Daphnia pulex: one gene and its partner. The protein of the gene in region 2 binds, or shares a complex with, the protein of the main gene of each other region. Links are inferred from orthologs where the notes say so. Each region holds a gene or a part of one and is shown on either strand. Other genes may lie near its edges. The genes, in order: exosome complex component RRP46-like and exosome complex component RRP45-like.

Region 1 (3,271 bases), on a different chromosome or scaffold from region 2:
AAAAAGGGCGAATTGCGTGAACAAACTGATGGGACTAGGATTCATTCGCCAAAATCCTGGATAGTAACACAGAAAACGTCAGCAACAGCTAAAAGCTTGAAAAGGAACGAGTTTCATCAAATATTTGACATGTCAATGCACAAGACATTTTTCCTTCCATCTCAATCATCCTAAATCCAATATCGCAACGTGGCTGCTGAAGAAATCGATTGGCCCCCTCTTGAAAAGAGATTATTTCTAATCATCCAACCTTATTGATCATTTAAAGCAGGATTGTGTCAACAGTTCCCAGTGGAAGTGGATGGGAAAATATGGAGAAAAATTCCGAATACAACAGCTTAGCAACTTAAAAGGCAAAAATATACACGGCAAACACACTTAAGCAACGACAGTGATGACGTAATATAATCAAAACAAAAAAGCTCTCTGGTTACTACAATAAAGGCGTTGTCAGGTGTATAGTGATGCATGGACGTGGAGGTAATTGGATCGGCGTGTAATGTTCAAAAACACTTACCCGTTGATTAATAAAGTTGCAGGCCAAATCTTTGAGCGTTTTCAGCGTTAACTGGGAGGCATCCGTGGAGATAAAGTCTCGTACCAGTCCAACTTGGAACATAAAGGTCACCTGACCATTACCATCATCCATGATGGAGCTTGGATCCAAAATTTTATGAAAAACACAATCACAATTATGGCGAAGTTTGACTTTTGGATGGCAGTGAAATTCGCACACACACAAAACTGGCCCTTTTTCGTTGGAATAGTCTGTGTGGTTGGTGTGTGTGTGTGCAATCAGGTGGGAGCAATGGAGTAAAAAAAAAAAAAAAACGGGTTCCAGCAACCAACAGGTTGATTGGAATGTCACATAGCCTCGGGCTGAGATCACCTTTTCTTTCGTCGTTCTCCCGCCCTGGCACCACTTAGATTTTTCCTTTTCTTTCTTCTTCAAAGAAAAAAGGTTGGGTTTTTACCTCCACTTGATTGCACGACAAAACTGAGCAACACGACTGTTTTAAAACCAACACAGATGGGAGCAGCACAACGCGTGATAACACGTTGGTGATGAAAAAAGTCGGTGCGAATAAGAGGGACTGGCTAATGGAAATGCCCAAACTAAATTCAATTAATACGCAGGTTTCCCAATCATGATGGCACACACAAAAAATTCACGTATAAACATCACACACACACACACACACACTAGCACACTTTACGTTCTCTCGAGAAATGCAGAAACAGACTCACGTACGTGTGTGTGTGTGTTTCTGACCGTGCAGCTCAAGTCACGATAACTTGGTAGTCTGCCGAGCTAATAAATACTGTCGCTACTCGGAGATCCGTCTTTGGCTTGCTCACAATTTTCTGGCCAAAAACAGCGTTGCCATTCTCTCGTGACTGAACGAACGAAATCCATGAAAAATACATATTCATAGCTACATTGGAAAATTGTGAATTTTTCAGGTCTTCTTTATTACAAATATAATAGTTGTTTTAAATTCATGGAGTTAAAAGTTATATTTTGTGTGATTAAGTAAATGGTTGCCATGGTAACTTAGAGACATCTGCAGACTGCTGTTGCCGACCCGTCAACCCCATGTATTTTTTACGATCACGTTGCTTATGCAGAAACAGGGCTGCGTTCTTAATCTGAATTATTGAATACTTTTTCAATCACAAAGAATTGCTTGCAATATTATTATTCGCCATGGAGACTGAAGAGAATAGCATTCGTGCTTTAAAGTGCGAACAAAGCGTACTGTCACGTGCAGATGGCTCGGTGATGTTTTCTCAAGGTAAGTTTAGATTTGTAACTTTTTCCACGCTGTTTTCGTGTTATTTTGTCCAAGTCGGTAAATTTTATTTTATTGACTTGTCATTTCAGGGAATACTGTGGTAATGGCTTCAGTTTATGGACCTTTGGAGGCTAAAATTCAAAAGGAACTGTCCGATAGAATGTACATTGAACTAAACTACAAGCCAAAAACAGGAATGCCAGGTTATTAATAACTTATCCTGTGTATTATTATTTCTGTAATATTGAATGCATTTTTATTTAGGTGTTGCTGAGCGTGGAAAGGAGAAACTCATCAAGACCACTTGTAATCACATTATTTTGACGAACCTGCACCCTCGAACAGCTGTCTGCATAACAGTTCAAGAAATGCAAGATGGTGGAACTGTAAGCACTTACCACAACAAATTTATTTTGATCAAGAATTAGTTGTTCACATTTTCCATAAACTAGTTGCTAGCAGCCTCCATCAATGCTGTGTGCCTTGCACTTCTTGACTCGGGTTTACCCCTGCAGTGTCTTGTAGCTGCAGTGACTTGTTTGGTAGACAAGAAGGATAGAATTGTCCTAGACCCATGCATCAGCACAGTCAAAGTATGATTTCCACTAAGAATTAACTAATTTTTTTCCCCCATTTTTTGTTGTTGTGCCTAACTTACTTTTTTCCCCATTACAGGAAGGTTATAAAGCAATGTTTACCTTTGCTTTTGACAGTCAAAAATACAACTTAATTCTGAGCCACTGTGAAGGCCAAGTTCCCTATCAACTTTTTCAAAAAGCCATGGAGCTGTGTCAGAAAGCCAGTCACGTCATCTTTGATTTCTACCGGCAAGCAGTACTACGAAAGTTTTCCAACGAACTTCTGTAAAACTTTCAAAAAATACACATTTTAAAGTTTTGTATATGCGACTGAAAACAAAGTATAATTGTATAAGTATAGGCTTGCTTATTTCCAGTATCGTTAAATTTCTTCGGAAAACCAATCCATCCTAATATGTCATGCGCATCTAGCAATACTCGAGTAATCACGTTCACCAAAACTATATCTAGAAGGTTTCCTGCCCGGAGCTTGGCTCCAATGCAATGCGGTACAATTTTGACACAAGTTATTTAGGTATAGTAAAAGTGCCGATTGTGAAATCAGAAAAAAAATAAACTTAACTTTGAAACAAACTCTTCTTAGAATGACATATGGTAGGTAGTTCTACCATTTTTAGGATTTATTCGGTCGGAAAATGTAGCATAAAGGAATTTCTTTTATGGTTATTCTGAAAATTTATTTCAAGGTGGTCTGGATATATCGAGTGCGATTTCAGCCTTTACGGTAATAGGCCTTGAAATGTTTTTCTCAATTAGAAAGTTTAGCCAATTAGGCTGTCAAGTCAAAGTCAACACAAATAAAGCAATTCTAAATTTAAGTCATGTATCACCTGATTCCAGTTTCGAGTTATTTTCCGATTGTTCCATTTCAGTAGC
Region 2 (4,292 bases):
AGCGTCCACAGTTCGTTGTGTACGTTGTAGTGAAAGGTAACTTTCGAGATTGCCTTTGTTGTGACTTTCGATCAATCGTGCGAGGGAGCACTCAGCATATTTCAAAGATGAATGGGTTTAGCACGGGTTCGGGTGAGGAGGATTCGCGTGATTCCAAGCGAAGCCATGATCAACATTGCTGCCTGATTGAATTTGATCAGATGATTGACGATGGCGAGAGATGTCCTAGAATGGCTGGAAATGCCTCTTACAGGTATGTGTGCTCTAATTGATCAAGAAACATTATTTTCAACATTTGTTTGATTAGTAAACGGATTCAAAAGACTGTACAACAAAGGAAACTACGGCTACACATGGACTCCTCTGTAAGTTATTCACACAAAGTTTCAGTAGGGACAAGAAAACCCCCTATTCAAGGGTCCTTCGTGTCCAAGTAGAAATTACCTGTCTTTTGCATTAGGCTTTCACTTGGTCACAAATTGCCCTGGACTTTTAAAAGTGTTGGAAATCCTGAGCATTCCCTCCGCTTTTGGAAGACCAATAAAGGCACAACCACTGTGGATGTTCCCTTGTCAGTTTTATTCAAGATTCATGAAGTATTATTTAACTTGTGCATTATTATTCTTAATTATAGGCCAGACACATCTATATTTGTGATTACCACAAGAGCTTAATTCAGTCTGTTCGAGTCCGGCAGCGCAAGAGGAAAGATTCTGAAGACGACTCCAACGAAACAGATCGAGACACGCTCAGTCTGCAAGAAAGAGAACGTGATGCTCCAGAAGTTGATCTCTTCCAACTTCAAATCAATACGCTAAGGCGTTACAAGCGACATTACAAAGTGCCCACTCGACCAGGCCTCAATAAAGCACAACTTGCAGAGGTACAGATATTGCCTAGTTAACCTACTATTATTATTATTAATTACTTACCAATAATCCTCGTGATTGAAATGATAGACCTTGATGCGCCATTTCCGGACTATTCCCGTGGTGGAGAAGGAAGCCCTCCACTCATTCCTTTACACCGTCAAATCTAATAAAAACAAACTCGATCTGAAACCAAACAATGACAACTTGTAAAACCGTGGTCTGTCTATGCTTCAACCCCTCCCCCAGTGCAAATCACGTTAAAGCACGTTTGTCTTCGAAATGATGAACTAGCGAAAGGATGGAACTCAAAAATATGCGTGCGTCTGTTGTTTTCTCCTTGGCATGTTTTAATTATTAATTTAACCTTGTAAATTCAAATACATTCGAACGAAAGGTTTAATCGGTGCATCATAGTCATTTTATGTAAGTTCGCTGGTTACCAACATGACAGGCTCCTCTTCACTATCATTTCCAACATCTATGTAATTAAGGAAACGGTGAGAAAATTAGATTTGAATGCCGATAGACGAGATACAGGACGAAACCAATGTTTTTACCTATTTCTTCGTAGACCCTCTTTTTTACTGCCACAGGTGGGAGTGGTTCAACTTCCATCTCACTTTCGCTGCTGGACGTATCGCAAGAGGTTTCTAATGTAACAACTCCTTGATCGTTTACAAGTTTCGTCTTCGTGATTGCCGAAGGTTCTTTTTTCGATACTTCAGCCTTATGATGTGACGCCTTGAAATACACTTCGGCCTGTGACTGAGTGGTGATTCTTTCTGTTTCCAGCGCTACGCTAGCAACTAACCCACTGTACTTTCCTTTGGCTCTACAAATATTGCAAAAAGAGAATGTTATTCACTTTCGGGTGCCGAAGAATTAGGCTGAATACCTTTCGGCGGCATCGTCAGCCAGAGATTTTTTTAACATTTCAACCATTTGAACAGCTCTTGATGCTGCCACATTCGCACACGATATAACTGCTTCTTTATGGATAAACACCCCATCGCCAGATATCTGTAATGTGCAAAGTTCTCGGTATGCATTTAAACCCATCACAAGTTTTCCATCGGCAGAACGTTCTTCTAAATTTGTTGGGTCCAAGACGCAAATTCTCCTATGGGGAAAGTTATAAATACATTTTCCAAAGGGAAAACAAAATATAGCGATCTAGTTACCCTTGGTTAAAGAGAGCAAAGGAAAGAGTTAAAGGATGATGTAGGATAGTGAGTGGAACTGGATCCCGTTCATCTAGCTGATGGATGATAACATCCCGACCATCGAGAGTTACATCCGGTCTTTTAAAGTGACAAAGAGCGCCTAGAGCAGCCAAAGTGGCAGCATCAATCAGATTTCCTTCATGATTCAGTACATGTATATCAACTCTCACTTCCCAAGCTTGTTCCTCAACCAAAATGCACAGGCTCTCCAAATCAATGCAGCGGGAATCTGTTTTTAAAATAGTTAATGTAATAAGGGCCATTGATGTATGAGTGGCAATGTATGTACATTACCTTTAATGCACCTTTCAACTAGCCTATTGACTTCAATGCCTTGTTGTCCTAATCTGCCAGCTTCAAAATGTTCAGCTGCCATAGTAGACATTTCAACATTGATAAACAGCATGCCTTCATTTGCTCTTGATGATTTCGGGACTTGGACACTGCAAGAAACTTGCGCCATCACCCTGACAAAAGATTCATTAAGGATAAAACACGTTAGAAACAAGTACTGAAAAATGACACTAAAACATGATACCTTGTGTTTCCAAGAAGGACCTGGCAGCATCCCCATTCTGTTCCGAATGTAATACAAGTCTTTCTCTGTTCCGAGAGACTACGCCCGTCAACTCTCTAAGAATGAATCGTAAACAATGTTAACAAAATTCGAAAAACAACAACTAGACCTGTGAGAAATACTTGTCCTTCTTTGACGCCTTGGATTACAGTTTGTTTCTCACAAATCGATAGCGGTGTTTCTTTCATTTTAAATATAAACAGTTGATAACTAAACCAGTGTATAAAAGAATTAAGCACTATTTGACGATGGAAATAAAAAGAACGAATAATTCTGCCCGACTGAAAAAGAACAATATTTAAGCAGACCACGTGCGTGAATGACAGACAACGTTGCCACTCGAAATCTTTTCTCTAGATTTAGATAGATTTATGATTATCTTAACTTCTATTCCTAAATATCAGGAAAGATAATTTTTCATTAAAAAAAACTTAAATTTTATAATAATACAATTATTTCCAATATTTTGAAGCAAACCAAGCAGCAGCGTTTAAAATTTGGAACGATCCGTTACCACGGTTACGGAAACATGGAAATCAAAACAAGCACGGAAGAATAGTATTTTTTCTTATAAACGCTGAAAAAACAATGTTTCGTTCACCAAGCGCCAGCTCTTTGCCACACTCAAGGTAAATTTATCTTTGCTGTAATTTAAGAAAAATCTTAAACATGTACATAATTTCTTGTTTCCAACCCTTGTAAATCTTGAAGTGCAACCCAAACGCGCTTCATACAAAATAGAATTCAAGTAATCGAAAAACACTTTGGTGAGATCTGCACCGCTCTAGCGTTATACACTAGAAAAATAGCCGGGTTAGTTTAATTATACCTTAATTCGATGGTGTTCGTAATAAACATAACCTGTGAAATCTAAATTCAGTCAGCGGGATAAAGGCGATTTTCTGGCACAGACATTAAATGAGTACGCTACAGCAGAAAATGTCAACAAAAATTGCAGTCAAGGTATCAAAGACTTTGCCGATAACATTTCTTTCATTTCAGATTACAGGTAAGAGTTTGAATTCGTAACGAAAAAATTAGTCAAATTAATTAACCGACTTTATTTTTAAAAAGAGATGTTTGCGTTAACCGTTTGGAGGAAACTGTCATCCAAGAGATTTCAAGTTACGCGGGCGTCTGCAAGTCGGCCATGGAGGACGTCCGAAGCTGTAGCATTGCGTACGAAAAAGAAATAAGTCAATTAAAATACGTTCACAAGTTACGGCAGCAAAACCCGTTGGGACGAATGCAAATAAGCAAAGCGGAAAGTGATTTAGCACACGCCACAACACAATCTGTCCGACTAGGCAAGTCTATAGAGGAACGAGCCGACAAGCTCGAAAAGAAGAAGCTCAAGGATCTTATTAGCTGGATGAAGCGATTGGCTTTAATCGAAATGAGTTTTCACTCAACGTCGTTGTCCGTTCTTACAAAAGCCTATCAGCAGTTGGAAAACGTCGATGTGGAATCAGATTTGGAAGAATTCCGCAACACTTTAAGGACCTATATGCCTCTTCCAGAATCCAGTCCTGCCAGAGCCCAATCTGTGCCGTCAATTGCGTTGCCTAACACACCAACAGAAACTGCGTCCAAGGTCAAACGTTCCAAGTCTTTCTCTGA

What was found.
Region 1: exosome complex component RRP45-like (region 2) and exosome complex component RRP46-like share a complex: the UniProt entries of both Homo sapiens proteins name them as parts of the RNA exosome core complex. The link is inferred for Daphnia pulex from reciprocal best matches to the Homo sapiens genes EXOSC9 and EXOSC5.

The regions. Positions count from the first base shown.
Region 1 is NC_060020.1:3,912,508-3,915,778, forward strand, and holds exosome complex component RRP46-like, read left to right. Parts: upstream 1-1,559; 5' UTR 1,560-1,708; coding exon 1,709-1,796; intron 1,797-1,885; coding exon 1,886-1,999; intron 2,000-2,060; coding exon 2,061-2,182; intron 2,183-2,248; coding exon 2,249-2,389; intron 2,390-2,471; coding exon 2,472-2,663; 3' UTR 2,664-2,697; downstream 2,698-3,271. Other genes in the region: serine/threonine-protein kinase D1-like, read right to left, coding at 518-649. UniProt on the Homo sapiens protein: Non-catalytic component of the RNA exosome complex which has 3'->5' exoribonuclease activity and participates in a multitude of cellular RNA processing and degradation events.
Region 2 is NC_060019.1:12,894,624-12,898,915, reverse strand, and holds the start of exosome complex component RRP45-like, read right to left. Parts: upstream 3,001-4,292; 5' UTR 2,861-3,000; coding exon 2,795-2,860; intron 2,729-2,794; coding exon 2,634-2,728; intron 2,563-2,633; coding exon 2,390-2,562; intron 2,325-2,389; coding exon 2,054-2,324; intron 1,993-2,053; coding exon 1,768-1,992; intron 1,705-1,767; coding exon 1,430-1,704; intron 1,351-1,429; coding exon 1,313-1,350; coding exon of another isoform or gene 1,292-1,312; exon of another isoform or gene 1,237-1,291; coding exon 1,096-1,236; 3' UTR 1,083-1,095; coding exon of another isoform or gene 960-1,082; 3' UTR 933-959; intron 884-932; coding exon of another isoform or gene 635-883; intron 366-634; coding exon of another isoform or gene 308-365; intron 265-307; 3' UTR 254-264; coding exon of another isoform or gene 108-253; 3' UTR 1-107. Other genes in the region: histone deacetylase complex subunit SAP30 homolog, read left to right, coding at 108-253, 308-365, 635-883, 960-1,082; protein FAM92A-like, read left to right, coding at 3,261-3,301, 3,384-3,485, 3,553-3,681, 3,747-4,292. UniProt on the Homo sapiens protein: Non-catalytic component of the RNA exosome complex which has 3'->5' exoribonuclease activity and participates in a multitude of cellular RNA processing and degradation events.